Struthio camelus: one gene and its partner. The protein of the gene in region 1 interacts with the protein of each later gene in a pairwise test. Links are inferred from orthologs where the notes say so. Each region holds a gene or a part of one and is shown in the gene's direction. Other genes may lie near its edges.

Region 1 (15,007 bases):
TAGAGCAGCCTGTCAGGCCTGTTCTCAAGAGGAAAGTGCACTTTAACTTTTTAAGCATCAGCGGGCATTTCTTTCACCAGTATTGCCTCATGCATTGAGGAATTCAGGAGTAAAAGCAGGGGTTTGGAAATGCAAGTTACCTTTAGTAGTAAAGATGAGACTATTGCTGTGAAGAGCTCTCAGAGTAAGAAAGGAGGTAACAAAGCATCTATGTATCTACAGATGTGCTCTGAAACAAGCCCATATGCAAACAGCTAATTGTAACTAACAACATTGTGAACTGCACAAAACCCCCATAAACAGAAGTTGAACTTTGTACCTATGTGCTTCTGTGCCTGCTCCCTCTTCCTCTGTGAAGCAAGACATATAAGAATGCTTGCCTTAGGTGGAATGCAGTGCTCTTCTTGCTTTTTATTCACTAATTGCTTGAAATGGGACGCTTGTCTTTTCTTTCAAATTTTCGTGGCTTTTTGTTTAAGTAGGTGTCAAGCTTCATCTACAGCCAGCTTGGGAAAGGAGTAGGGTGAAAAGGTGCCTACTTGCAGTGTCACAGAACTACTTACCTCTCCCTTCCGTGTGCGTAGGGTGAACAGAGCTGGGGCCAAGTTATCCACAGCAAGTTTCTTGCTCCAGCAACTTAACTCAATGTGTTCTGTTTAAGAAAAATTAAACCACTTCCACTTTTTTTTAAAATTCTAGAAAGTAAGAAGATCTGAAAAAAAATCCACTTCCTACATGGTGTATATGTGGAACAGGGGAGTACAAGAACTCCAGTGTCTTGACTGATGAATAGCAAAGTTTACTTTTTAAAAGCCTTTTATTTAAGGACTCTTTCTGTGTTATGATGAGAGCCAACTTAATCCTCTGTGTAACTATAATACAGTTACCCTAGGGAGAGCACATGGCCTCAGCATCTCTTACATTTAGTTAGCAGGAGAAGCGTGCTCAAAGGGGAATACTGTATGTACAGATGGGTAATGTACAAGTCTGAACTTGATTTTGAGACTTAGGCAGTATTGGAACTTTGTTGCAGTATATTTCCACTCATGCATTTACTGGTTCTATGAACCATGAAGAATTAAACTTGTTAACCTCCTTACTGGTGCATGCTTTTTTTTCCTCTCTCCTTTCCCTCCATTTTTTCCATACTCCTAACTATTGTTTTCTAGACAACTCCATAAAACTGGCTTCAGGAAGAACAGCTGAGTGCTGACTTCAGCATCAGCTTTCAGCATGCATTCCCTGGCTTATGCTAATAGAACAATATGTGCCAGAGGCAAGGTGAAGCTTCACAAACATGTTGGGGTTGGTTGAGACAGATCGTCACATTGCACTCTCCCTACTTGGGATCACACAAACACAATTACACAATTAGTATTTCACTGCTCTCTCCAGAGCAAGAAGAACTATTCACATCCCAGCCAGACTATGAAAACAGTAACAAGTTTAATGTACAAAAAGACACTTCTGTACCTACACACCACTACATCTGTGCCAGCAGAAAGTATGATCCTGTTGGGTAAACACACTGAGGCCCCTGAAGGTTTCTATCCCTGGTCTGTTGAAGTATGGGACCCTGAGGCCCTAAGACAATTGTTTGGCTGCTGCCTGCTTCTGCACATTGCTAAGATCACAAGCCAGATTTCAGCAGTTACATTAGGAAGCCTCACCACAGTTGCCTAAACGAAAGTCTACGCACAATAAAACGTTTACAGGCTCCTTGAAGGGGAGGCTCTAATACCAAAATATGCTCAATGGGGTAACTGCATTACCCCATACAGAGGTACTCTGAGCTTCATCTGCAGGGCTTTTTCCTCAGTCCTCCTACCCCATCAGCCATGCCAAGAGTATTAACGGCTACATTTTGTAAACTGAAAACAAGCCACATAAAAATCAAGCTGGACTGAGTGCAACTTCAGCATCAAGGTTTGTTTTCCTGTAGGTCCTCGGAGAACGATACGGGCAGGCAACAACAGAAGCTTGGAGCGCTTAAGCCTCGTAGTTCTGCTACGACTCTTGAGGTTACGCAGTACCCAACTGGAAGCTTGCTTTAACTCCTGTCTTGTCATGATGCTGTTGAGATACTTCAGTGGAAGATGATTTTCTTATATTTGGAATTGGGGATCTGTCCCCGTGACTTGAGCCTCCTGACTGCCTCTCGCATGTGTTTGGGCTGTAGAGGTGGCAGCTCTCCCCACTTCTCACATACATCCAGTGCTAAACAAAAAACAAGAGTTCACATAAGCAGGACAGCTGAGCTGAGCCAGTCTCTTAACAGATGATACCTGAAAAGCCTCCTACTGTTTTGAGCTTTAAATTTCAAAGGCAAAAGGTAACTTTTCTCTTGTTCAGAGTTTAAAGCTCATTTTATTAATGCATGAGAGTGAAACTGCCTTATGTGTTTCTCTTTGACTAAAAGAAAAGTTAGTCCTAGAGGCATCAGCACTGGACAAGAATAAACCACTTCTCAAACAGCTTCAGCTATGGAATACGCTAGTTTAAGTCATGCAAGAACTTGGCAATAATGCCTTATGATCTTAAGCCTTCCACTTTAAAAACCCCTCTAGATTGGGATTAGGTTTTGGGGTCATTATGTGTAGGAGCAATAGGAAGGTACAATTTACAATGGACTTACAGGCCAATTCCTTCTCCATCAGCTAGAATAAGCATTGTTTACATCTCCTGCCAAGGACATGAAGCAATTAAGTACAGCAGTGAAGCTGCTTATCCAAACTGCCTCAGGTAACACACAGAGCTGCAGCAGGGAAACAGCCAAACTGCATCATCCTGGATAAGGTAATCCCTGCATGTATAGGCCACATGTTTTGCATGACAAGTCTGTACTGAGCAGATGGCATGAACAAACAGTACTGTCTCCTCCTGGAGCGTGAATAAGGGAAAAAAAAAAAACCCAGGTACTTGGCTGGGTCAGCCTTCTACAGGATATCCCAAAGAGATCTCGGCTCATTGTTTAAAGCCTGAGTCTTACAGATGAGAGGCCTAAATAACTTATTTCCCTGGGCTGCATTTGTTGTCCACAGCAGCATTAGCAAAGATCTTGACTGCCCTACTGCAGCCTGCTCACACGCCGATTTGTGTGGCAAGAATGTTGACGTTATTTTCCTTTGAGGAACCAATAGAATTCCCAGTCTCGTTTCATATCCTTCTGCTTGGTTTTAAGCAATGAATTTACCATTGTATTTTTAACCTTTTTGCCCCACGATAACATATTCCACTTACCTTCTTCCACCACCTCCCCAACGAAGACCTTGGAAATGCCGGACATGGCAATAACCACGTTCTGAGAGACAGAGGTGCCAGTAATTGACTGGATTAGCTTGACAAGCAGGGAAGAGACAGTCAGTTGAATGAAGTACGCAGCAACAGCGAAAGTACTAGCCATTACTTCTATCTGTTGCCCCACGCACCCTAACCACTTTCAATTACAATGGGTTGGCAGAGACCCCCATTTAAACTGCATAAGCCATGCAAATTCAGTAAGCTCGAACAGGGTCAGATAAGCTGATCTGAGGACAACGGTCTCGGCCACGAAGGCTGAGACAAGCAGCTGGAAGAGAAGGTGCATCCACAGCCTGCGCATACAGCGGATCCAGTTCTTACCCTATGCAAGTCTTAAATCTGCAGTTCTATAGCCAGGCTTGGTAAGGCTCAGCCTTTTAACCCAGCCCACTTTGCTCATATTTTTTCCCCTATAGCAAAGCGTTATTAAAACCATACCCGTTTAATAGCAGCTTTGGGGAAAGCAGACCGACGATACATCTCATAACGATTCAACTGTTCTTCAGAAAAGGAAGAGACTAGTATTCTGGGGTGGAAAAAATTGATTGTTTACAGGGGAAAAAAAAAGAAAAAAGAAAAAAGAAAAAAGTTTAGCACATCTCTGGCTACTGGGTTACTGAAAGTCTCGCAGAACCTTCCTACCACCCCAAACCTCTCACAGTACAGAAGAGGGCCAGGAAGGGAAAGACTGTTCCAGCTGTACTAAAATTTATATGCAAAATGGCTAGGCCCATTCAGGAGGGGAGAGACCTGGGAAAGAACTAGGGAAATCATCAGCAACAGTCTCATAAAACAGCTAGAGGTTCACTACGCAGTCAGCGTGTCTAGAGACAAACTCCATACAGCAACTTGTGCCCTAGGGAGCACCAGCCTCCTCCAGGGAGCAGCCCGGCCCGGCGCACCGCCACTTACTGCATCTTCTGGATCTCGTCCTCGTCCACTTTGTGCTTCTTCTCCTTCCTCTCCTTCAGCTCCAGCTTCACCTTCTTGGCCGCGGACGGCTGCAGGCTCGGGTCCTCCCCGTCCACCGCCTCCCCCTCGGCGCTCCTCACCTGGGCGAGAGCGCACTGCTCGGCTCGGCGGCGCCACGACCCGGCCCGACCCGGTCCGGCCCGACCCCCCCGCGCCCCCTCCTCGCTCCGGCCCGGCCTCACCTCCCCCGCCTGCGCCTCTACCGCGGACTCGCCGCCCCCGCCGGCCTCTCCCGCCTCGCCCTCAGCCGCTGCCTCCGCGGCTGCCGGCTCCTCTGCAGCCGCCGCTCCGGGGCCCGGGGGAGACGAGGAGGCAGCGGCCGGCGGCGGCTCCGGGGCGGAGGCTCCAAGCTCCTCACGGCCCGGCGAGTCGGGCTCCGCCATCGCTCCCCGACGGCGGCGGCGGCGGCGGCGGCGGCGGCGGCGGCGGCGGCGACGCCTCCTGATGACGCCACCGCTACGGTTGCCGCGAAGGGCCGCGCCTTGCCGGCGGCGGGGCGGGGCCTGTCGCCATGGCAACGAGGCCTGCCCGGGGGTGAGTGATGGGGCCGGGGCGGGGGGGACTGGGAGGTACTGGGAGAGCGGGTGGGGAGGGCCGGGGGCGGTGTGGGGGTTGTGGGAGGGAGGGCCTTGGGGTACTGGGGGGTACTGGGGCGGGATGGGCTGGGCTGGGGGGTACTGGGAGAGGGGGGTGGGAAGGGCTGGGGCAGTACTGGGGTACCAGGGCGGGAAGGGCTGGGGGGAACCGGGTTCCTGGGGTGGGAGAGGCAGGGGTCAGCCCCGGCGTATTGGGGCGCCGCGGGGGGTGACGCAGCGGGGGGCAGAGGCCAGGCCAGTAGGGAGCCGAACTGCAGGGCCTGGAGCTTGGCTCCGGCCGGGGGGCAGGACGTGCTGACAGGGGCAGCCGTGTCCCTTCCTGCTCTTGGAGCAAGGGGACGGTTGTTACACTGATGAGTTGCTGGAGTCGTTGCAGAAGCGCGTTCTCAGCGTGGCGTTCTTGCACGGAAATAGGAAAAAAGTTAAATATTAAGAAGGAAAAGTGTTACGGTAGGGACAGAGTCTGGGGTCTGGAGCTGTGGAAACAGCCCAGGGTCTGGGTGCACGCTTTAGTCTGTGGCTCTGCAAACCCAGATCAAAGTCACCAACAAAACAGCTCTCTCTGAGGCATTGGCAAGGATCTCCTGCTGATTTTGTTTCTTGGAAGCATGAATCAATTTGGAAAGGCTAAGCCAGTCAATGATTTTCTGCATTGTTTCCGTCTAACAGGGTACCACATGACACAGCAGGGAGCAGCAAGGTTGGGGCGAGACGCGGGGAAGCCGGGACTCCCGCGTTCCCGGCCCCCCCAGCCCCTCCTCAAGCCTGGGAATTCTGACGCTGCTTCTTTGTTTCTTTGTTTGTTGTATGGAAAAGTAGTGATAACGTTGACCAGCTTCACAGGGCTACAGGATTAATTCCAGCTTGCAAAATACTCTGAGCGCCTCTGGTGAAAGGAGCTAAATATGTGTAATTTCCAGCGGCCCTCTCACGCATCAGCTTCCCCTGCGGGCTCTGGCGAGGCAGGGTATGGCCGCTGCCACGCGCGCTGGAGCACGTGGAGTCCCGCACGAGCGCGTGGCACCTCGACGCAGGGGATGTTTCTGGCGGGCACCAAGGCTGTGATCTCCTGTAAGTGTCCTCCTATGTATTTCCCTCAAGGTGAGGTCAAGGTGAACGACGTTCATCTCCCGTCTCTCGAGCGCAGGCTGCGCTGGGTAAGGGATATCCCCCAGCCAGAGACCTGAAAACTGCCTGAGCAAAACTGTGGCAAATCCACTTCAGTTCCGCTTGGAGGGGCAGCGACCGAGGCTGGCTCTCTGAGAGGACTGATGCTGTTAACGTGCTGTTCAAATGGAGCACCTGGCCGCATTTGAATCATTTTGCGTGCCAGCTCGTAGGCTGCCATCGCGGACAACTGTTTCTGGCTGTTTTGCTTCCCCTTGAAGAGCGATCGTCAGCCAGAGCAGAGCACCAGCACCGTTCCTCCCCAGAAGCCTTTGCTATGGGCAACGGCTGAGAAATAGCCTGCGAATATTCCTTTTTCGTGTCTCTTTCGCCAATAGACGCGCAGAACGAGAGCCCTGGCAGAGACGTGCCTTATTTAAACTGTTCTAGGAATTAATTCTTGTACATATTATGCCCAACTGCTCTAGCGACGGGAACCCTGGAAATGCAGAAAGCGCTGGGGCTAGACCAAAGGCGGTCCCTTTCTTTGCGTAGCGCGTGCTGTAACCCTACCTTTGCGTTATTCACGTCCCTCCCTTTCGCGGTTGTAGCAGACTCCTTAGCTTTAACGAATAAAATGAGCCAAAGCAAAATTAATTTAAAATACCCTTAAAAAAAATAGTTGGAAGTCATTTAAGGGATTTATGGAACTAACGAGGCCAGGTGTAAATCGCCTTTTGGGCGTTGCACAGCCACTAACACCGCAGGCACATCCGGCCCTCATGCACCGGGGTGGGGCGGGTCGGGCCCCCCAGCCCGCACGCGTGGGAGTTTCGGACCCGCCCCCCTAGCCCGCACGCGTGGGAGTTTCAGGGCCCCCGGGACCTTACGCACAGCGGTTTCAGGGCCCCCCTGCCCCGGAGGGGGGCGAGGGGGCGGTGCCCTGCCATCCCGCCGGGGGGGCGTCCCGCCCCTGTAGGGCGGAGCTTCTTCAGGCCACGCCTCCCCCCGCCGTGGGCGTGGCTGCGGGCCGAGAGGCCCCGCCATGCCAGGCCCCGCCCTCCGTCAGGCCCCGCCCCGGAAGGACGCGCAGGGGGCGGGGCGCGGCGGCGGCGGCGGGCGGCCGGGGCCGGGCCATGGGGAAGGAGCAGGAGCTGCTGGAGGCCGCCCGCACCGGGAACCTGCCCGCCGTGGAGAAGCTGCTCTCGGGCAAGCGGCTCAGCTCCGGTTTCGGCTCCGGCGGCGGCTCCGGCGGCGGCTCCGGGGGAGGCGGCGGCGGCGGTGGCGGCGGGAGCGGCGGTGTGGGGCACCCGCTGTCCAGTCTCCTCAGGTGAGCGCGGCCCGCGGGGGGCGGGGAGCCCAGACGCTGTAGGCCCTGGGGCGGGCGTGGGGCTGGGGGGCCGTGGGGCTGGGGGGCCGTGGGGCTGGGGGGCCGTGGGGCTGGGGGGCCGTGGGGCTGGGGGGCCGTGGGGCTGGGGGGCCGTGGGGCTGGGGGGCCGTGGGGCTGGGGGGCCGTGGGGCGGGGGGCAGTGGATGCGTGGGGCTGGGGGGCCGTGGGGTGGGGGGCAGTGGATGCGTGGGGCTGGGGGGGCGTGGGGTGGGGGGCAGTGGATGCGTGGGGCTGGGAGGTGCAGGGTGCGTGGGGCTGGGGGGCCGTGGGGTGGGGGGCAGTGGATGCGTGGGGCTGGGAGGTGCAGGGTGCGTGGGGCTGGGGGGCTATTGGGTGGGAGGCAGCAGATGCATGGGGCTGGGGGGTGGGAGGTGCAGGGTGGGAGGCAGCAGATGCGTGGGGCTGGGGAGCCAGGAGGTGTAGGGTGCGTGGGGTGGGGGGCAGCGGATGCGTGGGGCTGGGAGGTGTGGGGTGTGTGGGGCTGGGGGGCTGTGGGGTGGGAGGCAGCAGATGCGTGGGGCTGGGGAGCCGGGAGGTGTGGGGTGCGTGGGGCTGGGAGGTGTGGGGTGCGTGGGGCTGGGAGGTGTGGGGTGCGTGGGGCTGGGGGGCTGCGGGGTGGGAGGCAGTAGATGAGTGGGGCTGGGAGGTGAGGGGCGCGTGGGGCTGGGGGGCCGTGGGGTGGGAGGCAGTGGATGCATGGGGCTGGGGGGCCAGGAGGAGCGGGGTGTGTGGGGCTGGGAGGTCGTGGGGCGGGAGGCAGTGGATTCATGGGGCTGGGAGGCATGGGATGTGTGGGGCTGGGGGGTGGGAGGCAGCGGATGCGTGGGGCTGCGGGGCCATTGGACGGGAGGCAGCGGATGCGTGGGGCTGGGGGGCCATGGGGTGGGAGGCAGCAGAGGTGTGGGGCTGGGAGCCGTGGGGTGTGGGAGGCAGTGGATGTGTGGGGCTGGAGGGCTGCGAGGTGTGGGGTGCATGGGGCTGGGGGGTGGGAGGCAGCAGATGTGTGGGGCTGGGAAGCCGGGAGGCGCGGGGTGCGTGGAGCTGCAGGGCTGTGGGGAAGGGGGTATGTTGGGCTGTGGGGCAGGAGGTGGGATGTCACGGCGTTGAGGGCAAATAGGGTTGTGGAGTCCGGGGGCCTGGGGTAGGCGGTAGGGATTGGGGTTTGTGGGGCGGAGGTGGCTGTGGGGCAGGAGGGTGGGGGTCTGTGGGGCAGGAGAGGGGGTGTGTGCGGCTGGGGGGTTTTAGGACCGTAGGGCGGGAGGTGAGGCGTATGGGGCTGGGGGGCAGAGGTGGGAGAGGCAGGCAGCGTGGGGCTGTGGGGCCTGTTGGCAGGGGCTGGGGGGAGGCTGCAGGGGTTGCGGGTTTGGGGGTGCCCGTGGGGCTGGGGGATGAGGTCTGGAGCCTGAGCCAGCGTGAGCTGGGCGAGGAGACGGCGGCAGTGGGGCCGGGGGTGGGATGAGGCGTTAGGGAGGGGGCCGTGACGGGGGTACGGGAAGCACGGGCTGGGCCGGGGGGAGACCCTGCGGCGTTGGTGCCGCCTGGGTGTTACGGGATCCATGGGGGCTGGCGGCGGCGGCGGGAGGCTGGGAGAGCCGGGAGACGCGGCTGTCTGGAGCGCGTGCTCCCGGCGTGGGGAGCTGCCCGGTGATGTGTCCCCAGGGCTTAAACCGCTACAGGGTTACGTACGCCATTGGTAACGGCGGGTAGCTGGGGACTGGCGAACCAGGGAAAAGGTGCTGTGTTTGGCCAAGGGGAGCGGGACTCTGGGTTAGGATGCCAGAAGAGGCTGGCAGACCTGCAGCCGGGATTGTGCCCGTGTGTTCCTGCAGTGAGGGGAGCTGCTGGATGAATTTAGTGGGGCAGATGTGCAGCTGGCTGTTCAGCAAGACGTCCTCTCCCCCCCTTGCTCTCGTTGTGTTCGTTTCACGCGTGTGCTCCCTTTCTCTGTAATTTTCGCTGCTTGCTGAAATGCTGTTATGGCTCTCGAATTGGCAGTGGCTGTTCAGGCTTGGGGGTCAGTGGTGCTGTGCCGCACAGACGTACGTAGGGCATAGCCCTTTGCTTTGGCATTTAAAGTACCGTGCTATGTAACTTGCTCTGTTTTGAAGCTTGTAGACCTTTGTTAGTTTTTTTCTCCTCCCTTTTTTTCGGCATCTCACAAGGGAACCTCTTGCTGGTGCGTTTCTCAAGTTGCAGCTTTTTGCAGTTTCGGCTCCTCTGCTGGAACTGCTGCCGTTCGTGTTCCCTGAGCTCCCTGTTTGTATTGGAAGGGAGGCGGCGACTGAGTCCACTGCTGAGTGACACTGTCACTGTATAGCTTGACTATTCAGACGGATGTGACTTGCCCATTTGTGGCTAAACTGGATCCACTTTTCCTTTTACAAAACGCTATTGGAAATCTGCTGTTGCACTTCAAACTGATTGGCAGAGATACAGTGATGTGGACGGGTTTTGCTTTCCTAGTGCTGATATATATGTTGGTGTCTCAAATGTAAATGTGTTCTTAGGTTGAACTTTATACTTCTCTTTTAATGTATTAAACACACCGAGTCCTTGTTTTGAGTGGGAAATTGCTCTGAACACTTCAAGCTCATCTATGTTAGAAGATAGATGTACTTGTAGGGTGTTTAGATAAAGTGGAGAGGGTCAGCTGAGTTAAATACACAGCACAAGTGTTATCAACCTCTTGTTCTAACAGCTCTGCCATGCTACCCTGTAGTAATGATGCCTTTTTTCTTTTTTTTTCCTGGTAAGACAACTGCTTGTGCTAGCAGTTGATTTGTGGAGTGGGGAGGCTGTTTGACATCTGATCAGTTAGCTTGTTTTTTTCACGTGTAAACATAGTGTGGTGTATAGATATGTCTGAAGGATGGTGAATGTCAGCTGTCATTCATAGCCTTGCCTGTGTTCGTTTACTTGACAGTCTTAAAAGTCTTTTAGTTAACACCCACCAAACCTCTTGATTCTTAAACCTTTTGCTGCCTGCCGTTGGGTTACAGTAAAAATTTGGGCGTGATTATGATAGCGATTCTCATCCTGGAAGCGTGTTGGATTCTCAGTGTTTGCGGGGTGTGTGTGGTAACCTGGTGTGTGTGGAATCTGCAGTAGCATCCCTTGATGTATGACTATCTGCATGGACGTGTCCATGTTGATGTTAGTCCTGCTGCTCGGATCGTGACCTTTACACTATGTTTGCGCATGCAGTGGCTGCAGTCTTCCCAGGCGTCGATGTTACAAGCCCTAGGGAGTGGTCCTGAGGCTGGTCTGCTCCTACCTGTCGGCACTTTTTGCTACCTGATAGTTGGGGCAAGAGTTCAGGTGGTCGCTCTGGGCATGCAGCCGCTGTGTTCCCACCTGTGGTGTCTGGAGAACATGCTTTCAGGGATTGAAAATGGGCTTTGGACAATTTAGAGGCTATCTGATGATTTCTGGTGTCCTGTCAATTTGTTATGCTTTTACTTGGCTTAAATGGCTTTAAGTGGGGAAAAAAGCACTTATGCTTGTTTTACAGATGCAAGGCTTTCGTGAGGAACGGCCACTAAGTTTACTTGCAATGAGAAGCCTGGCAATTGGTTGGGGAGCAACTGGGACAAACTGGGCAGTGTTCAAAGCTGATGCTTTCTGTAGCATGAACTCAGTTCGTATGGCTTGTTCAGCAGCAATAACCCTATGGAGTCCTGGTGGGACTATGAGATGGCTCTGAGACCTGACTCTCTTTAGGGGGTTGTTATAGCAGCAACCGCACTCCTTCGTGTCCCCTTAGTAGAACAGTAACAAATTGGATTTTGATCGTTGCAGTGGGGATTGAGTTTCCATTCCAAAAAACAAAAAAGCAACCACCTCACCCCCCAAGTTTCCAAGTGGCCTCAACGTATCAGAGAAGAAAGTTGGACAGTCCTCTCTTGTGTGTCATCCTGTCTCTGTTTTGGTCTGTGTTTACTCTGTGAAGTGTGAAACTGGCTCTTGCCCCTGGTGCCAAGACCTGATTACTGACTTTGCTCATCTCTGGAGGTGTGTAATTCCTTGGGAGCATCTTCACCTGTGGTTTCCCTGCTTCCTGGGGGCAGGGAGGATATGGCAAGAAGTACTCTGCAGTAGGCAAGGTATTTAATTATAGCTAACTTTGCCTTTCTGTGCTCCTTTTTAAAATAACTTCAAGGGGTTGGAAAAGAGAAATATGGAAGTTTGTCTGCCTTACACTTAAAGGAAAGTCGAAGGGGGCAAATTAAAGGGAACTGGTGTTGTGGGAGGGAGAGTGAATGGGTGGAGGTGGCAGAAGCAGTGCTGGCTGTGGTCCGCCCCAGCACCCTCTGCCTTCTCTGCAGGACAGTACCAAAGGTGTGTGACAGGTCAAGAATAACTTTGGAGTAACTTTAAAGTTGAAGTATTTTCCCTTAAATCTTATTTCTGTATCTTGATTTTTTCCTAATGATGATTAGATGCATTTTCTAAATTAAAAACAATGAATATGGACTGGAAATGTGCTGAGAGAGTGTCATAGTGACAATTAAGTGGGAGCATTAATGAAAGTAGTAAATTGATGGAGAAGGCTAAGGTGCTTCAGCTGGTGGCTAACTCTTTATCAGACTCTACAGCAGGAAAGCTGGTTAAACAGTAGCTGCTTTCAGTATTAATAGATAAAGAAATCACAAAATAGGTATTGGGAGCAGGGATTTATTTTTTTGTGTGTATGATAAGGTTGGATCTAGGAGAATTTAGGTTACAAATCATTGTCATTTGTCATCTGAAATGTGGAAGTGTCAAGACCTGGGGCAGGACTCCTTATAGCCTTGTTCAGATGTGGGTCCTGCTGAAAGCTTCTGGCACAAAATGCCCTTGTGGTTTTTTTTAACAGCTAAATGCAATGTTTTATTAGCTTTGAAACCTTTGAAAAGCTTCTGAATGACACTCGCTCAGCTGCTTCTCCAAACTGCCTTCAGCCTGCAAGGCGAGAGGATGGTGTGAAGCTTGTGGGGAAGGAGTCTGCATCAACTGTAAAGAAAAGACAGGTTACATTAACAAGTTTTAGGAATGTGCAGGGTATAAGAAACTTTACCAGTGAGACCTCTTCTAATTTGGGGTTGCTTACCGTTTGGTTGTGGTGGAGAAACTTTTCCTTGGTCAGTTTGGTACGTTTCATATTTTCCCTTCCTCAAACAAGTTTTGGCAGGTTTCTTTTTTGTGAAGTCATTTTGATTTCTGCTGAAGCTGGCTTTAATGATCTAGATCATATCCTTTACAAAAGATGTCTGCTGGTTATGGAGCTGCTCAGCTGTCCTTGGGTCCCCTGAAGCTCCTGCCAAGAACAGGGTTATGAACACTCTACTGGGCTGACAGAGCTCCCTTGTTCCTTCTCCTGGCTGATTTCAGGTCTTTTTTGATGTCAGTGCGCTATTTCAGTTTCTATTTTTTAACTGTCTCACTGTTTGCACTACCTATTCTCGCAAGAACATCTCACTTTCCTAGGCATTGGGCCCATTCCTTCTGTGCAGTTCTACAGCATTTGAGATAGGTCCCAAAAATAGTTTTGAATTAGATACACCGCACATAAAAATAGTGGGCCGTTAAGCATATTACAATTTAAACGTGAACTTTGTCGGATCTGGGGATTTTGTACTTCCTGCTTAGATCGCTGAGCTGCGTCCTCTAGGGTGTGAAAGACATGAATAATCTCCAAATGAAATCACAAAATTCTGCAGATAAGCAGGAAGAAAGAGATGATAGGCTGTGATAAGTCAAATGAGAAGGAAGCACCAAAGGTAGAATGGTAGATAAAGCCTCGCCCTAGGGGGCAAATGTGCCACTATGTAACCCTAAAAATATTAGGCAGGAAAATACACCCTAGTGGAAAGGGGTGCTAATGTGGATAAAGGAATACAAGTGGTAGGTTGTAGTGTTAAGGGTATGGGGAGGATAAGAAGCAGCAAAGAAGAGGGAGATGAGTTTCTGGCTTTTGACAAGGCAGACGGTGGGACCTAGAAGGAGGCCGTGTCTTGCCAGTGTTTGGGGAGGAAGTGGCTTGCCAGTAGTCCTTGAGGATTTGTGCTGCTGCTCCAGCTGCCCCTAGGATCTACTCGCGTAACGTGGTCGTTATGATCTGTTTGCGGCCTTGGAAGGCGGCCAAAGCAGCTCCAGGAACGTGGTGTGGGCCGTAGTCCTCCGATCTCCGCTCCTTGATGGTGTAGTAATGGTTTCCATTTTCAGAACGTATCTAACGCAGCAGTAGCAAAAGCACTTCTTGTTGATCAGTGAGCATCTAGAGATAGTATCATCTTCATGTAAACACAGCTTAATGCTTATAAGTAAAAACAAGTCCAAAAATTACAATGCTTTGCAAATCCATCAAGTCTGAGGGTTTTAAGGAGGGGCTTCGCATAGGGACTACAGAATTTAAAATTTTGTTTTCTGCTTCATTGCAAAGCTAGAGGCAGGAAGCAGTGAAACAATTTGTGGTCTGAAATATCAGGCTGCGTTCAGTAGGTTTAGCTAGTAGTGCTAATGATGAATTGTATCACAGCCAAATCAGAAAAAGCTTTTTATTTTGATCTGATTGAGGAGCTTTGATCAGAGGGGAAACTGAGGCTACTCTTCGAGCCACAGATTGTATATGTAATCTAAGTGTATGAAGGATAAACTTCTACTGTGAATTAGGACCTTTTTCGTATACATCTGTTGTGGGAAAGGGTTTGGTGGTTGCTTCACAGCAGCCAAAGCAAGTGTTCTAGTCAATTTGCAGCAGTATTACTAGTGAGTATTTTCTTTGGTTTAGGAAATGACATGGTTTAATGGTTAAACACTTAAAGTAGTTTCAAACAGTCCAAATGTGGTTAGAGTCAGAAGAATGATCTCTGTTGGGGGGGGGGGGGGGAAGTGGGCTTTCATATTTGTTCCTGCACTGCTTAATGGTTTCAAGAAATGATTCAGCTAGTGCTACAAGTTCTGCCTGTGGTCTGAAAATCCAGCTGCAGCCTTTCTGCCTTCTGCATTTCCATCCAAAACAGCTCCTGCACCACTGACTGATACCCCTGCTAAGATGAGAGGGAAAGCAGGCTCTGTTCTGGATGGATTTGTGTCAGCAGCTCTAATGGGGGCAACGACTTGTCACTGGCTCCTGTAAGAACAGCAGGATTTGGAGCCAGATTTTTGTTCTGCATCGGTGTGTCTTCCTGAAATTTCATCTGCCCTAGTGAGAAACAACACTGAAGTCGAAGCAGAAGAGACTTTTCAGAAGACCTCCTTTTTCACCCTTTTTGTGATAGGAGCTCTGAGTGTCTTCAGTCATGCATATTAAAGAGCAAAATGTCTTTGTAGAAAAATGCCATTATGAAAATCTTAGGATGAGTGGGGTGTGCGAAGTGGGTGTGCATGGGAAACGATTGTACTGTCGTTTTCTGGAAAGTAGACGAGATTTGGAGCTGCTGATGTCCCCGTAAGGGATGTGAAGGTGTGGGCGCACCTGTTTGAGTATGAAATATGCTTGTTCTTTAACTTCCAGCAGAAAAGCAGATGGTTATCTGGCCAAGCGTTGCTGCTGGTAACTCAGAGCAGTTACAGAAAGTACAACCTCTGGGGCCTCCAGTTCTCAGAGGGGAAGGAGCATTGCAGAAAGGAGGAATTGCCCCATATGCAGCAAGGATAATGC
Region 2 (15,230 bases), on another chromosome or scaffold:
CAGCTGGCTCCCTTGGGGGCTGCCTATGTCTCGGTTCACACAGAGGGCCGTGCACCCTGCCCGGGCTCTACCTGCTCCGTGCTGTGGCCCTGACGAAGACCCTGCGTGTGCGGTGGAGAGGGGTGGAGCTGTGACAGCCTGTGCTGTTCACTGGTGCCTCCAGACTGGTATCTGGTGTGTAGGGTGGTGGCTGTCGTGCTCGTGGAGGATGCGTGAGAGTTCTGGGAGCCGTGGAGGACGCGACTTAGCTGGGCTGAGCATAGGCACTTGGGTGCCTGGCAAGACCAGTGTATGGCTAGCGCTGTGGCCTGCGTGTGTCGCTCAGGGGCCCAAGCCGTCTAATGCTCATGGCGCCTGTGTTGCAGGAGAAGGAGAAAGCCCAGCTGGAGGCAGAGGCCCAGAAGCGGGCTGAGCGCACCCCTGCAGCCAGCCAGGCCAGGGAGCCAGGCGAGGAGAAGCTGCTGGAGTGGCCGGAGCTGGAGCTGGAGCGGGTGAACAGCTTCCTGAGCAGCCGGCTGCAGGAGATCAAGAACACCATCAAGGACTCCATCCGGGCTAGCTTCAGCGTCTATGACCTCAACCTGGATGTCAACGACTTTCCCAAGAAGGCAGCTGTCCTGGAGCAGAAGAACCTGCTCTCCCACCTCAATGGCTCCTCTGACCTGCAGGACATAGACCTGGCCCTTGCCCCGCTCAGCCTGGGCCCTGCCAAGAGCCACGCGCTGCTGCGGGGCGAGCTGGGCCCCCGATGGGGCGAGGGGCCCGGGGAGCCGCTGCCAGCCCCAGCAGCTGAGAACGGCGTGGTGAAGCGCCTCAGCGCTGTGCCCAGCCTCTCCCGGATGATCTGGGTGCAGTCCAAGGCCACGGACTCTGTTGCGGAGGGCGACGGGCCGAGCCCAGAGCCCAAGGAGGGACTGCAGCCCAAGGGGCCGGAGCCGCAGGAGCAGATGCCTGCGGGGGGCCGGCAGCGGAAGAACAAGCGGCAGAGCGGGCAGGTGAAGAAGGGGGACGTTGCTGCAGTGCCTGGTGGCCAGGCCAGGCTGGAGAGCCCTGGTGCGAAGGGGCAGGTGCTGGGAACCAAGCACCCTTCGAAGCCCAGCGCCCCAGAGCTGCAGCGGGCAGGCAGCTGTGCCGAGCCGGGGGAGAGTGGCAAGGGGCAGCCCTGGGGCTGCAGCGGCGCTAGGCCAGAGGAGAGAAGCGGCGTTTGGAAAGGCCGGAGGGGTGAGGGCAAAGCGGAGCCGGCCGAGCTGGCGCAGCCGCCTCCCCCAGCTGCTGGGGACCGCCAGCTGCCTCACCCCACTGCCCTGGGGGGCTCCCCCCAACCCAAGGGCAAGAGCAGGAAGAGCCGGAACAAGGTGGAGAAATCCAGTACCTCTATCGGTGAGTCCCGGGAGCTCTGCCCTGCGCCGCGGCCTCCGTGCGGCATCGCATCCCTTCCTCGCCTGCTGTGCTGTGACCGGTCGCTCCTTTCCCTGCCAGCTGCCGTCCCCTTCCCGTGTGCTCTGCCCTGTCCTGGCACGGGGGTTCCCCTCCCCGCTCGCTCGGAGGGAGCCGAGGGTCTGAGGGGCCGCGGCGCCGCGCTGACTCCGCGCTCCTCTGCTTTGCCAGATGACGTGTTCCTGCCCAAGGACTTAGACGGGGTAGAGATGGACGAGACTGACAGAGAAGTGGAGTACTTCAAGAGGTGAGGGAGCACCTGGCTGCGAGGACCCTCCGCAGGGGACGGGATGGGGCGGGGGTGCGCCCTGCCCGGGGGGGCTCTGTGGGGCTGGGGGCGGTAGAGGGGATTTGGATGGGGAAGCTGCCGGCTCACCCAGGTCCCTTCTCTCCCCGGCCAGGTTCTGTCTGGATTCTGCCAAGCAGACGCGGCAGAAGGTGGCCGTGAACTGGACCAACTTCACCCTGAAGAAAACCACTTCGAGCGCGGCCCAGTGAGGTGCGGGGCAGCCCCCCGCCACCCACGGCAGCTCTGCTCTCCTCACTGTGCCCCCCGCCCTGCTCCCCGGGGGCTCCCCGGCTCGCCGCCGTGGGGCCGGTGCTCTCCTCCGCCGCGGGGCCCCGGCGCTCGCCCCCTCGGCGGGCCCCGTCCCTCCGGGCACGCGCCCCACCGTCCCGTCCCCCCCTCTGCACCCGCGGGCACCCGGCTCCCTGCTCTGCGGGGAAGGACCGTGCTGGACCCAATAAAGAACTTTTTAATTTTTTATTTTATTTAAACCCAGCTCTTTAGTGGTTTGTCCCCGCGCCCCGGGGCTGGGCCCACTCGGGTTGGGGGCGGGGAGAGAGGCGTCTGTTCGCGCACTCCGGCGAACTTTGGGCTTCTAGGCGGCCCGTCGGGCGGTAGCTCCGCCTCCCGCTGCCGTCACGCGCGGGGCCGTTGCTAAGCGAGACAGCGCCCGCCCCGCGGCAGCCGCTTCCGCCGCGCGGGATTCGCGTCCGGGGCGGCGCGGCCGTTGCGTGGAGACGGCGCCATGGAGGCCGCGGCCGACAGGAAGGTAGGGCCGCGCCGGGCCGGGCCGGGCCCGCTCTGCTCCGCTCCGGGCGGCCCCGCGGCGCCGGGCAGCGACCTGCCGGGCCGGCCTCACCTCGCGTGTCCCCACAGAGGCAGCGGGAGGAGGCGTCGGAGACGTCGGGCCTGTCCGGGGAGGAGGAGGACGACGACTATGTGCCCTACGTGCCCGTCAAGCAGCGCAAGCAGCAGATGGTAACGGCGCTCCGGGAGGCTCCGCGGCGAGGGGTGGCCCGCGGCCGGCTCAGGGGAGGCCGTGGGTTGCCGCGGCGGTGCGGGCCCCCTCCCAACCCCTGCCCGCCCCCCTTCCTTCCAGCTGCAGAAGCTGCTGCAGATGCGGCGGAAGGTGGTGTCAGAGGAGGAGCAGCGGGACAGCGGGAGCGAGCAGCGGGGCGACGAGGATGACATCCCCCTGGGGCCCCAGTCTAACATCAGCCTCTTGGATCAGCACCAGCACCTCAAAGAGAAGGCGGAAGGTAGGGAAACAGCTGGCAGTAGGGCTGGGTGGCTCCAGGGTGCTGAAGCCTCCTCACTGATTCCCTGATTCCCCTCAGCTCGGAAGGAGTCAGCCAAGGAGAAGCAGCTGAAGGAGGAAGAGAAGATCCTGGAGAGTGTGGCACAGGGACGAGGTGAGTCGTGGGAGCTCTGTGTCCCTCACGCTGGTCTCCAGAGCTGTCGCTGCAGCAGAGAGACTGTCAGTTGGCTTGCAACGCTTGGCGACGTTTACATCCAGGGATGGGAAAGGAAAACATAGCAGGATCCCACAACAGGCATGTGACTGTTTGACTTAATTTTAAGACTTTGCTATTGCTGCCCCCTGGACACACCAGGCCTGCAGCACCTCGTATTTCTGTGCCCAGAAGGGCTCTCTGGGGTACTGCTGTTTGTCAGCCATCTCTGAATATGGTCCCCCAAACCTTTGCCCCAAGTGCTGCTTTGCTGAAGTGGTATGCATCTGGAGATAGAGAGCTTGCGCTGATCTTTTTGGGTCTGTTCCTGCAGCTTTGATGTCAGTGAAGGAGATGGCAAAGGGCATCACGTATGATGATCCCATTAAAACCAGGTATGTTTTACAATACAGGTGTTGTCTTTCTGAAAACATCACTTCCTTGTAGCTGAAAAGAACTAGAAGCCATGCAACCTAGTAGGCAGCGTGCTGCTCTGTGGCTACTGGTTCTTCTTGGGCTGCACTGCCTGGCATCTTATCGTGGTATGTGAGATCAAAGACTATAGGGTCATTTCGGATGTTACTTTACATATGGTAAGAGAGTAAGCTTTATTAAGAGTACATCTACGTTAAGCTTAAAGACTTGAGCTGGATCTTCACTTCTTGGGGAAGATTAAGTTAAAGAAAAAGACTGGGAAAGCCCAGGGAACCAGCACTGCTCAAGGCCCTGCAGTGGCAGGGAACTGATGAAATGAGATGCGTCCACAAGACTTTGGCACGCCATATCCATCGTTCGTGGACTGTTCTCAGTTGCTAGCGTGGGACTTGTTACTCGCTCTCTGGAGAAATGTTAAATGCACGGTGCAGGCTTGGATCTTCCCACCCGCTTGCACGCGAAGCCCCTTGGGGTTACCTGCTTTCCCTACTGGAGCATCAGAGCCAGACTGGGAGTTCCCAGTGCCTTGTTTGGGGCTACTGACTGTGGAGCCCCAGGCTTGTTCTGCACCGTGACCTTTTCCTGTTGCCTCCCCAGCTGGAGAGCACCTCGTTACATCCTGGGCATGTCAGAAGCACGACATGATCGCGTGCGCAAGAAGTACCACATCCTTGTGGAGGGAGAGGGCATCCCCCCTCCCATCAAGAGCTTCAAGGAGATGAAGTTTCCAGCAGGTGGGCTGGGAGTGGGAGCGTGGCTGGCGAGGGCGGGGGAGTAGCGTTCTCATGGGAAACTTGCCTTGGCGAGCGAACTTGGCGGACCCTTCATGCTCTGATAGTGGGATCGCAGCTTAAATTCGAGATGGTAGCCATTTCTCCTAAGGTATCTAGCTGCTGGCCTGGAGGATGTTTATCACTGATGAAAGAGCTGCTTCTGAGAAATGAGTTAGGAGGAAAGCAGGGGAAAACTTCAGGCTCTGAACGTGCCTGTCCCTTGTTTTCTGACAGCTATCCTCAGGGGCCTGAAGAAAAAAGGAATCCAGCAGCCAACACCCATACAGATCCAAGGCATCCCCACCATGTGAGTGCTCTGTCCCAGTGCGGGGAATGTTCTGCTCCCTACGGCCCACCTGGTGGTGTCAGCTGGGTGCTTTTCCCTGCTGATGGGTGGAACCCCCTTCACCCTGCACACAGCCTGCCCTGCAGGTCGGAGCCATTCTGTGATGTTCCCGCTCACGCTCAGCCCTGTATCTCTGACAGCCTCTCAGGAAGGGATATGATTGGCATTGCGTTCACTGGCTCTGGGAAGACCTTGGTGTTCACCCTTCCCGTTATCATGTTCTGCCTGGAACAGGAGAAGAGACTGCCATTTTCCAAACGAGAGGGCCCCTATGGACTCATCATCTGTCCCTCTGTGAGTGCATTGGGGCCCCTTCCTGCTGCAGGGGTGCAATGAAGCCTGGCAGGAAGCTTTTACTGATACTCAGTGGGAACAGTTGCGGCTATGAGGGGAGAAGCAGAGCGTGGAGATTAATAGTTTTCTGTCTGCAGCGAGAGCTGGCCCGGCAGACCCACGGCATCATAGAATATTACTGCCGCCTGCTGCAGGAGGACGGGCTGCCCCCGCTGCGCTGTGCCCTCTGCATTGGGGGCATGTCTGTCAAGGAGCAGATGGAGACGATCAAACAGTAAGACCTAGTGTGGGGGGTCTTGCTGGGCTGGAGCTGTGGTCTTTTTTCTGGCAGGGAACTAAGGGCTGGCATCCGGGCTGGCCTGGTGGGTGAAGGTGAGGGCCCAGGCAGATGTTACTGGCCTTCCAGCCCACAGCATGAGCTCTGGAGCAGGGAGTGTGGGTGCTGAGCAGTTGCTCCTTGATCCTTTCCCTACATGTTGCTGTGTGGGGCAGGCGCCTGACTGCCTGACTTGTCCCACAGTGGTGTACATATGATGGTGGCAACCCCTGGCCGCCTCATGGACTTGCTGCAGAAGAAGATGGTGAGCTTGGACATCTGCCGGTACTTGGCCTTGGATGAGGCTGACAGGATGATCGATATGGGCTTTGAGGGAGACATCCGTACCATCTTCTCCTATTTCAAGGTACTGAGCTGGCGTGATACAAACATCCTACCTTGGGGCTCAGTCCCTGCATCTGCCCATTTGGGTGAGTGCTAAATCCTTACTTGCACTGTGTTCCCTGCGCAGGGCCAGCGGCAGACCCTTCTCTTCAGTGCCACAATGCCCAAGAAGATCCAGAACTTTGCCAAGAGCGCCTTAGTGAAGCCCATCACTATCAACGTTGGGCGAGCAGGTGCTGCCAGCCTGGATGTTGTGCAGGTGAGGTATCTGGGTGCTCCCGTATGCCTGTGTGGGAGGCCAGTGCAGTTCACAAGTGCGCTTGATATTGCTTGCCAGAGAGCTGGGCTTCTTGGCGCTCCTCGGCAGCCCTTCCCAGGCGACACCTGCCGATAGTAGTCCTTCTGCTGTCTGCCTGACCTGTCCCTGTGCTTGTTCCCAGGAAGTGGAGTATGTGAAGGAGGAGGCGAAGATGGTGTACCTGCTCGAGTGCCTGCAGAAGACCCCACCACCTGTGAGTAGTGCGCTCCTGCTGTTCTAACAGCACATCTGGGCCTGCGTGGGTGAACCTCAGCCCAGGGGCATGGATTTAGCTGACCGCTGCACGTCCTCGAGCTGTCAGTGGGGACATGGTGTTGATGTTGCAGGGCATGGTTCAAGGCAGTGCTATGTTTGGGGGTAGGCATTCAAGTGACCATACTCTGTGTACGGTCTTGGGCCCAGAGCTATTGCGTGCTCTGTCTGCTCAGCAGGAGGGAGGGGGTTTCTCTGGAGGTTGTGCCCATTCCTAGCAGTAGCAGCAAGCAGAAGGGCCGTTTTCTTTCCCTGATGCCTGTGCTGTGGCAGGTGCTGATCTTTGCGGAGAAGAAGGCAGATGTTGATGCAATCCATGAGTACCTGCTGCTCAAGGGTGTGGAAGCTGTGGCCATCCATGGAGGGAAAGGTCTGTGAGGGTGTCGGGAGGTGTTGGCTGGGCCTGCCCAGACAGATGTTGCCCTGTCTCTCACCCTGCTTCTGCCACTGTGGTAGCCGAGTATGGCAGGTCCCAACACGTAGCAGTTCACAACGGTCTGAGGAAGGACTGCGGCAATGTCGGGGGCTCCTAGGGGTGTCCTTTCTTTCTGGGTATGAAGCAGGGTAGCAGCCGAGGTGGAAGCAGGCATGGTCGTTTTACATGGGACGTGTCAGTGAGGGCATCGTTCAGTAGCGTAGGAGGCACAAACGCAGCACAGTTCCCGCATGGCTGTCGTTAAATATGCTCTCAAATGCCTTTTGGGTCCTTGTGCACAGTTGCACATGCCTAGGTTGGCTTTGTCTCCGGGGCTGTTTCCCTGAACCCTGCTCTCTGTATCTGTCAGGATGGGGGAGCTCGCCTTGCCAGGCTGCTTGCGTTGGCTGAGCCGTGTGTTGCCACAGTGCTGGGTGGCACCGTGCTCATCTGAGGGAGAGCTAAGCCCACAGAGCCGAGTGCACGGCGGCTTAGCCTAAGCAGCAGAGCCTGGGAGCAGTTGGGGCTTCCCATGCTGGGGCCCTGCTGCAAGGCTGGCTGAGTTTGTAGTGTGGTGAAGCGCATGGGATTGAGCTCCATCTCTTTGCACCCAGCTAGGCATCTTTCTCTGTGTCGGGGGATGAGACAAGGGAGGTCTAGGATGCTGATAGTGAGGGACCTGCGTGTCCCTCTGCTTCTCTATTTAGGGAAAGGATGTGTGGGTTCTCTCAAAGTGGGAGAGCTTGGGCTGTGAGTGATGCTTGGTTCTGAGGCCATAGGGCTCAGTAGAGCTGGGAGCTCTGCCCTTGCTAATCTTCTGTGCTGGTCCTTTGCAGATCAGGAGGAGCGGACAAAAGCCATCGAGGCCTTCCGGGATGGGAAGAAGGATGTCCTGGTTGCCACTGACGTAGCTTCCAAAGGCCTGGACTTCCCAGCTATCCAGCATGTCATCAACTATGACATGCCAGAGGAGATTGAGAACTACGGTGGGGAGTGGGCCCTGTCAGGGGAACTGTGGGAGCACAACTGGGTGGGTGCAGGCCAGCAGGGCTGTGTGCTTGCCATTGCAGTGGCTGGGGCAGGGGCTGTCTCTTCCTGCTGCATTGCCTGGGCTGCGTTTGCCCAGGCCTGATTCTGTCTGTTTCTCTGCAGTTCACCGTATTGGGCGTACAGGCCGCTCAGGCAACACTGGCATTGCTACCACCTTCATCAACAAGGCCTGTGGTGAGAAATGGCATGGGGCTGGGCTGGGGCTGCCTCGAGGGCCCGCACAGTGGGCTGTAGGTATATGAGGTGATAGGACAAGTCACTTGCTTCCCCATGAGCTGCCTCTGCCTCGGCAGTGGTGGTGTTCCCAAGCAAGAGGGACTAAGTCATTAGGGCCCGTGGAGGGGAGACGGTGGCATGGGACAGTGCTGCCCTGCTTCTGGCTGGCCTCAGGGCCCCGCAGGCCCTCCTTTGGGGCACTCCTGTGTCAGGCCCCTGCTTGGGCTGCGTCTGATCTGTGTCTCTGCCCCCAGATGAGTCAGTGCTCATGGACCTGAAGGCTCTGCTCTTGGAGGCGAAGCAGAAGGTGCCTCCTGTGCTCCAGGTGTTGCACTGTGGGGATGAGACCATGCTGGACATCGGAGGTGAGAGGCCCCAGGCTGGGACAGGGAGCTCCGGCAGGGTTGTTGGAGTGACCTGGGCTGAAAATAGGAAGGCCCAGCTCCCATCGCTCCAGGGTCCTTGCTGCCCCCTGGGTTGCCTGCCACGGGGTGGTTGTTGCCTGGCTGCGTGGATGGCCCAGTGCTGGTGACAGGGTGGGAGTTGCAGGCCTAGCCCTCTGCTCCTGGGGTGGGGGCCACCCTCCTGCCTGGTGTGGTGTGGCTCTGCCTGACCTTGCTCCTCCCATTGCAGATGAACGGGGCTGTGCCTTCTGCGGTGGCCTGGGCCATCGCATCACTGACTGCCCCAAGCTGGAGGCGATGCAGACGAAGCAAGTCAGCAACATCGGCCGCAAAGACTACCTGGCTCACAGCTCCATGGACTTCTAGCCTGGGGATGCTGCTGCCCAGTGCTGCCTCCACCGAGGCTGGGAGAGAGGGCCGAGCTTTGACTCTCTTTGGGCAAACAGCGCTGTCCCCCCTGCAGCTGCCCTCATTTCCCAAAGCCCAGACCAGCCCGGACTGCAGGCCTGTCCTGCACCGCTGTGGCTCCTTTTCAAAGCATTTGGGCACTGGGGACTGTTGCCCGCTCAGCCTGCTGAAGCTCCTGCTCTAGGAGGAAATGTGAGGAGCTGTGCTGCAACAGCCCATTACATCAGCGGCATGTTGATGTGAAGCATTGGGCAAGCGGGTAGTGGTGCCTGTGGGGTGGCTGCTCTGTGGCCAGCTGTCTGCAGCCCCTACTCAGCTTCCCCGTGGTGGCATGGCTGGGGTCTGGCATTGCTCTCCTCCAAAGCCCCTGGATTCCTCTGGGACTGTTCCCCCGCAGCTCGTGTTGTGCACTCTCAGCTGGTGGCTGCCTCCTTTCTGCTGTGCTCTGACCAGGGCAGTTTCTGTTACCCGCAACTGTGCCCTGATGCAGCCAGGGCAGGGCAGAGCATGCTGTGCTCATGTCAGGCAGGCCCCTAGGAGCTTCCTTTGCTCTTGCTGCATGTGTTCTGCCCCACTGCCCTCCTGTGAGGGGGAGGGAGGATGGACACCTCCTGTGGCCCAGCCTGCCCCTCATCCCACACAGCAAAAAGGGGAAGTCGCTGAGAAAAGGAAGTCTGCCCCATTTAGTTGCTTCAGCTGCAGCAGTCACACTTCTCTGCTGCTGATGGTCTGAGTCCCAGATCCTTGCACTGGCTGCCAGGGCAGTGCTGTGCCCATGGAGAGACCTGTGAAGGATGGGATCCTCTATGTGCAACACAGCAAATTTGGAAAGGTAAAAGGTGGAGGGTGGGTTTGGGGTGGGTTGTAGAGCTCTGTCTTGCCCTGTTCTGCCTTGATGCTAGACCCTGGGGGAGGCCCTGACCGGATGGGGAATACTGGGTCCTCCACAGCTTCGGCAGGGGAACGACAGAGCCAGACCCCTTGGGTAGGGCAGAGAGGGCCCTGGCCTCTGTAGCTGTAACGGAGTGGGGCAAGGTGGCTCTCCCCACAGCTGAGGGGACTCCCCCGAGCAGGCCTCTGCTCACACTGACCCCCATGTACAGGGTCTGTCCCCTTGCCTGATCGCCACGCGATTCGCGATGAAACAATAAACGTGTGTTAATGACGCATAGCTCCGGTGCTTGTGTGCAAGTGGGGCAGCAGGGGTGGGAGCCCCTTGCAGCTCCTGGGGGTGGTGGGACCACACATAGGAAGTTGCTGTGCGCCAAGCCTTCGAAGAGCCTGACCGTGGGGGGCAGTGCTGTGGGAAAAGCCAGCCGCAGGGCTGGACTCGCTGCCCAGCTGCTCGGTGTGCTGAGCCCTTGGGGATGGGCACTGAGTGCCAAAACCCTCTGGGCACGTTATGGGTTATGTTACTGGAGTCCTGGTAGGAGCTGTGAGATGGTGCTTACAAGGCAGGTCCCACCACTTCGCTGACCGTGCCCAGCAGCATCCCCGCTGCTTCAGCGGGGTGGCTCTGCCCCTTCCTAGAGCCCGTGGGGTGCAGTCAACCCTCCGTGTGCTCAGTGGACGTGCTGGGCCACGGCTGTGCCTTCGATACTCTCACGGAGCTGCTCTAGTCTCCCTGCCTGCGAGAGCTGAGTCCTAGAGCTGAAGTGGGCAGACCCCTATGTGAGCAGAGGCCGATGCCCTGCCATGTAGGACGCAGGTGGGCTTACGGTGGCGGGTATTTTGGGTGCTCGGCTGCGCGTAGGTTCACTGGGGTGGAGGCCATGTTGTGCTCTTGAGGTGTGTGGGGGGGAAGCGCCCTCTCTATCCCATGACAGGCTGGGAAGGTGCTGGTACCACAGAGCGTCCCCTGGGAGGAAGCGGGTTGCTAGCTGCAGGGACTAACTGTACTTGGTAGGTGTGAGCTGCCTGCAGGAGCCCAAGCAGCTCAAAATGGCTTTAATTTGCATCATGGTCTGTCCTGAAAACAGCTCAAGAGGCTCAGCTGCAGCAGCAGCAGGCTAGCACTTGCAGCAGGGAGCAGAGGGCAGGATGCCTGGGTTCCCTTCCCAGCCGAGGGCGAGCGTGACTCACCAGGCGAGCGGAGCCGACCTCGCTGGAGGGCCAGGCTGGCCACCTCGCTGACCTGGCGGCTGGCAGCCCTGGCTTTGGGGCTGGCCTGGCCTGCGGGTGCTGGGGGACCTGAGAAGGCCCTGCTTGCTGTGTCCTCCCCCAGCACGCGCAGTGTGCCCAGCCCCGCCAGGGGTGCGGGAAGGGCATTGCGTGTGCCCGGCGTGCCCTGTCCTGCCAAGCATGGGCTGGAGCCCTTACTGTGCTGGCTGACGCGATAAGGAGGGCAGTGCCGGTGAAGATGCAGCAGGCAGTTGTTTGCTGACCTTTTGTTCCCCTTGTCTGTGCCCTTCCTGCACCCCAGAGGTTCTGGAGGAAGATGCGAGCGCAGCTCTTTGCTGCCAGCCCGTCCGGCGTGGCCCGGATGGAGAAGTTTGATGTGCGGGATGACGGCACGGTGCTGGAGAAGTCCTCCCTGCGGAGGTGCGCCCGCCGGGTGATCCGCCTCTCGGACTGCGTCTCCGTGGGGCCCGTCAGCACTGACAGCTGCCCCAAAGCCACCGCTGCCTTCTACCTCAACACCACGGAGAAGAGCTATGTGCTGGCGGCCGAGCAGCGGGACGAGTGGATCTCTCAGCTCTGCCAGCTGGCTTTCCAGGTACCGCGTCTTTGGGGTGAGCGGGGCCACGAGCAGTGGGGTGGGCAGGCTGCACAGCTGGGACCCCCCTCACCCTGCTCCTGGTTTGGGTGAGCCAGGGGGGCTCCCTCCCTTGGTCCCTGGCCATCACCTTGGGGTGGAGGGTGTTGCTGGGGCATGGGGCCAGGATGCAGCAGGAGAAGGGATGAGTCCCCTTGGGGGGACTAGTCGGGGGTGGTTTTGAAGGCAGGCCCCTACTGGGAGAGTTTCCACTGCACGTGTGCAGCAGGGAGAGGTGCTACAGCCCTGCTTGCAGGCCCTCGCGCTGCCCCATCTCTGCCCGCGCCTTGTGCCACCGCGGCATGTTCGGAGCAGCCCCAGGGCCGAGCTGCAGGACGAGGGTGCCCGGGGCGGGGGCCGCTCTCACATCCCTCTGTTTCAGGGTGCAAAGGAGGTGCCACAGAGCAGCGCCAGGACCCAGCCCGGCTCCGACGTCCACATGGAGGAGAACTCCCTCTACTCCTCGTGGCAGGACCGTACGTGCCATGGGCTGGGTGGCGGAGGGGGCTGGGGCGGGCAGCAGCTCAGCGTGGCAGGGCTGATCCCGGTGCCGTTCTGCTCCCGCAGTGACAGAGTTCCTGGTGCTGGTGCTCAGGACGGACGCAGCCGCCCGCTGCGGCCTGCACGGGCACTACCTGCTCGCAGCTCTCCCCCAGAGCCTGACGCTGAAGGACCCGCAGTCCCGCCAGCCCCTGCTCACCTGGCCCTACTCCTTCCTCCGCAAGTTTGGCCAGGACCAGGTAGGTGGTGCCCCGCTCCCTGACTTCCCTAGGGCAGGTGAGGTGGGCGCCAGCCCCTCACCCTGCCCTCCGACCTCGCAGACAGTCTTCTCCTTCGAGGCCGGCCGCCGCAGCGACTCTGGCGAGGGCACCTTCACCTTCAGCACCCCGCGGGCCCCGGAGCTCTGCCGGGCCGTGGCCACCGCCATCGCCTGCCAGCAGCAGGACAAGGATGCCCCGGAGACCCGGATCCCCATCCCGGGCACCGAGCCCCAGCCCCGGGGACCCGCCTCTGAGGAACCGCAGCCTGGGCCAGCCGCAGGGAGGGTGCAGCCCAGCTCCCAGCCCAGTTCCCAGCCTGCCCTGGGCCTCCTCCGCTTCCCAACCTCGGAGCCCGATGGCACCGGCCCCATCATCTACGCCTCCATCGCCCGGGGCCAGCAGCCCCTCTTCGGGCTGGGGCAGCCTGGCCCCAGCGAGCCCTGGGCCGCGGGGAAGCCGGCCGCCGAGCACCTCTATGAGAACATCTTTGCGGCGCAGCTGGGGCGCACAGAGGAGGAGGAGGAGGAGCACGAGGAAGGGCAGTGGGAGCTGGGGTGCCGGCAGGCCCCCGAGGGCCACAGCGGCGAGGCAGGCCCCATCTACGACAACCGGGAGGCGGTGGCGGCGGCGTGGGGCGGCCCGCAGCCCCCCGGCCCCCCGGAGCAGCGCTGGGGTCCGGCGGGGCGCTGTGCCCACGAGGAGCCCCCGGGGCGCCCCGGGCCCAAGCCGCAGGGCAACCTCAAGGCCAAGCTCGTCCGGCTGCTGAGCAGGGAGGCTCCTGCCGCCGGGCAGCGGGACTGGCTGTGAGCCGGGCCGGCCGGGCCTTGGCGATACGGTGAATAAAGAGGCTGCGCTCGAGCCGGCTCCGTCCTTGCTCGCGGGTGGGAGGGGGCGCCCGCGCTGCGCCTGCGGCGCCCGCATCTCGCCGTCAGGGGGCGCCGTCGTGCGCGCCCCGGCGCGGCGGGCGGTCGGCGAGCTGATTGGCCGAGCCGGCCGCCGGCACCGCCCACCCCACCCCCGGCCGTACTTAAAGGCGGGCCGGGCCGGGCGGGGGCGGTGCCCCGAGTTCGAGTCCCGCGTCCGGCTGCTCCGCTCCGCTCCGCTCCGCTCCGCTCCGCTCGGTCCGTTCGGCCCCGCTCCGCTCCGCCGGGGCGGCCCGGCGCGGCCCGGCCGCAGGTGAGCGCGGGGCGGGACCGGGGCTGCCAGGGGGCCCGGGCCTGGGCGCGGGGGCGGCTCATCCGGCTGGGGGCCCGCATGGGGCCGGGTAGGGGCCTGTGTGCGAGGAAGGCAGGCAGAGTGCTCCGGCAGGGCCCGTGTGGGGCAGCGCTGGGGCTCGGGGCCCGCCCCGACGGGGTGCCGCGGGTTTGGAGGGGGGGCCCGAGCTGTGGGAAAGGGGGCCAGTCCGGCCTGCGCAGGGGGCTGTGTGGGGCGGGGAGGGGGGCCCCGGGTCGGGGTCAGGGAGGCTGGCTGGCCCCGTCTGGACAAGGGGCCCGTGTGGGGCAGGGCTGGGGAACGGGGGGGGGGGGTCGTGTGGGGCAGGGGTAGAGAGCAGGGGGGCCCGTATAGGGCAGGGTAGGGGGGCAGGGGTAGGGAGTGGGGGGGGCCTGTGTGGGGCAGGGCTGGGGGCCCAGCCTGGCTGCCCATCAGGAGTGGGTGCCCCAGGGCCACCCAGGTGCCTTGCGCCAGCCCCATGGGACGTGGCCGTAACCCCTCGCGGAGGGGCTGTGTGGGCCCACCCCATCCCTCCAGATCACTTCTCTGCCCCCCACCAGCACCCTGCCCCAGGGCTGCCGGAGACCCCTGGCTGCTGGGGCCCCCCCAGCCCTGACCTGGGCGTGTGGGGCGCTGCCGGCCGCCTTGGGGCAGACCGCCACGGTCCCGGCCCCGAAGGACACCGCGCCTTGCCCCGGTTTGTGCGGCTGCTCGGTGCTGGGGAATGTCTGACACGCAGCCTTCACCCAGCCTTCCCGAGCGGGGAGCACGCTGGTGTCATCTTACAAGCCTTATATAGCCCGCCCGGGCTTGGGGAGAGCGGGGGCTCGCCGGCCCCCGGCCCTTGCGCCTCCACTGCCTCCCGGCTAGGAGCCCGAGGTCCCCGGCCCTCGGGGCGCTGGGTTTGTCCCTTCCTTGCGGGGGCAGGAGGCAGGGTCTCGAAGGGGCCCCTCAAGATCTGGGAGGGCTCCTCTTGGCTGAGATGCGGCTGGGAGGCTGGGGCCGGCCCGTGTGCCCCCCGTGCCTTGGCCGGCTGACAGCTGTCAGCGCCGTCCCGGCTGGCGCGCAGGGAGAGGCAGGGATTCCCTCCTCGCTGAAGCCCCGGCTCTGCGCGCAGAGATGGGCTCGCCTCCCAGGTAGCATCTGTTTGGCCAGCTGCTGCAGCACGAGCCTGGCTGCGCTGCCAGTCCGCTTGGTTGGCATCGCGCAGCTACTGTGCCGCTGCTAATTCACCCAGCGAAAACGCCTCTGGTCTCCATCCTTCCACACCCGCTGTTGCTTCTCCGTGGTCTGAAACAGTTTTGGCTCTCAGTAGCGTGAGCTTCCAGGGCGCTGTTGTGCGTACTGCAAGGGAGAGCGTGCCCCAGGTTTGGGGCAGGGAGAGCAGAGCCCGTGAGTGCACTGAGCGTGGCAGTCAGCTGTGTCTGGCTCTTTTGTGCTAGTCAGCATTAGCCTGGGCTCCTCAGCCCTAGGAGATGCTGATGGATTTGGGGTGCGTCTCTAACTGCAGTGTGGGATAGTCGGGGTGGAGCCGGTCCTGGAAGCGTGACCTGTCTCCTCCTGCCCCATCCTGCCAGGTGCTGGGGCCCCGCTCGGCTGCTCTCCCTGCGTTGTTCCCGTGCAGCGTAACACCGGGATCGCACCCTCTTCCTTTGCAGAGATGGGCGATGTGGAGTCCTACAAGGTGATCCTGGATGGCCCCGCGCCCTGGGGGTTCAGACTGCAGGGAGGGAAGGATTTCAGCATGCCGCTCTC

Evidence for each region.
Region 2: the proteins of ANKS1A (region 1) and DOK3 interact in a two-hybrid assay, tested with the Homo sapiens proteins (2 studies listed by BioGRID and IntAct). The link is inferred for Struthio camelus from reciprocal best matches to the Homo sapiens genes ANKS1A and DOK3.

Annotation. Positions count from the first base shown.
Region 1 is NC_090965.1:5,424,810-5,439,816, reverse strand, and holds the start of ANKS1A (ankyrin repeat and SAM domain-containing protein 1A), read left to right. Parts: upstream 1-7,086; 5' UTR 7,087-7,111; coding exon 7,112-7,305; intron 7,306-15,007. Other genes in the region: TAF11 (transcription initiation factor TFIID subunit 11), read right to left, coding at 2,087-2,217, 3,241-3,337, 3,739-3,826, 4,213-4,352, 4,455-4,655. UniProt on the Homo sapiens protein: Regulator of different signaling pathways. Regulates EPHA8 receptor tyrosine kinase signaling to control cell migration and neurite retraction.
Region 2 is NC_090954.1:9,775,707-9,790,936, reverse strand, and holds DOK3 (docking protein 3), read left to right. Parts: upstream 1-9,438; 5' UTR 9,439-9,522; coding exon 9,523-9,579; exon of another isoform or gene 9,580-9,916; intron 9,917-11,169; coding exon 11,170-11,463; intron 11,464-11,884; coding exon 11,885-11,978; intron 11,979-12,069; coding exon 12,070-12,242; intron 12,243-12,323; coding exon 12,324-13,070; 3' UTR 13,071-13,121; downstream 13,122-15,230. Other genes in the region: probable ATP-dependent RNA helicase DDX41, read left to right, coding at 2,469-2,492, 2,600-2,701, 2,823-2,982, 3,061-3,135, 3,509-3,569, 4,207-4,343, 4,617-4,689, 4,869-5,022 and 9 more; PDLIM7 (PDZ and LIM domain protein 7), read left to right, coding at 15,136-15,230. UniProt on the Homo sapiens protein: DOK proteins are enzymatically inert adaptor or scaffolding proteins. They provide a docking platform for the assembly of multimolecular signaling complexes. DOK3 is a negative regulator of JNK signaling in B-cells through interaction with INPP5D/SHIP1.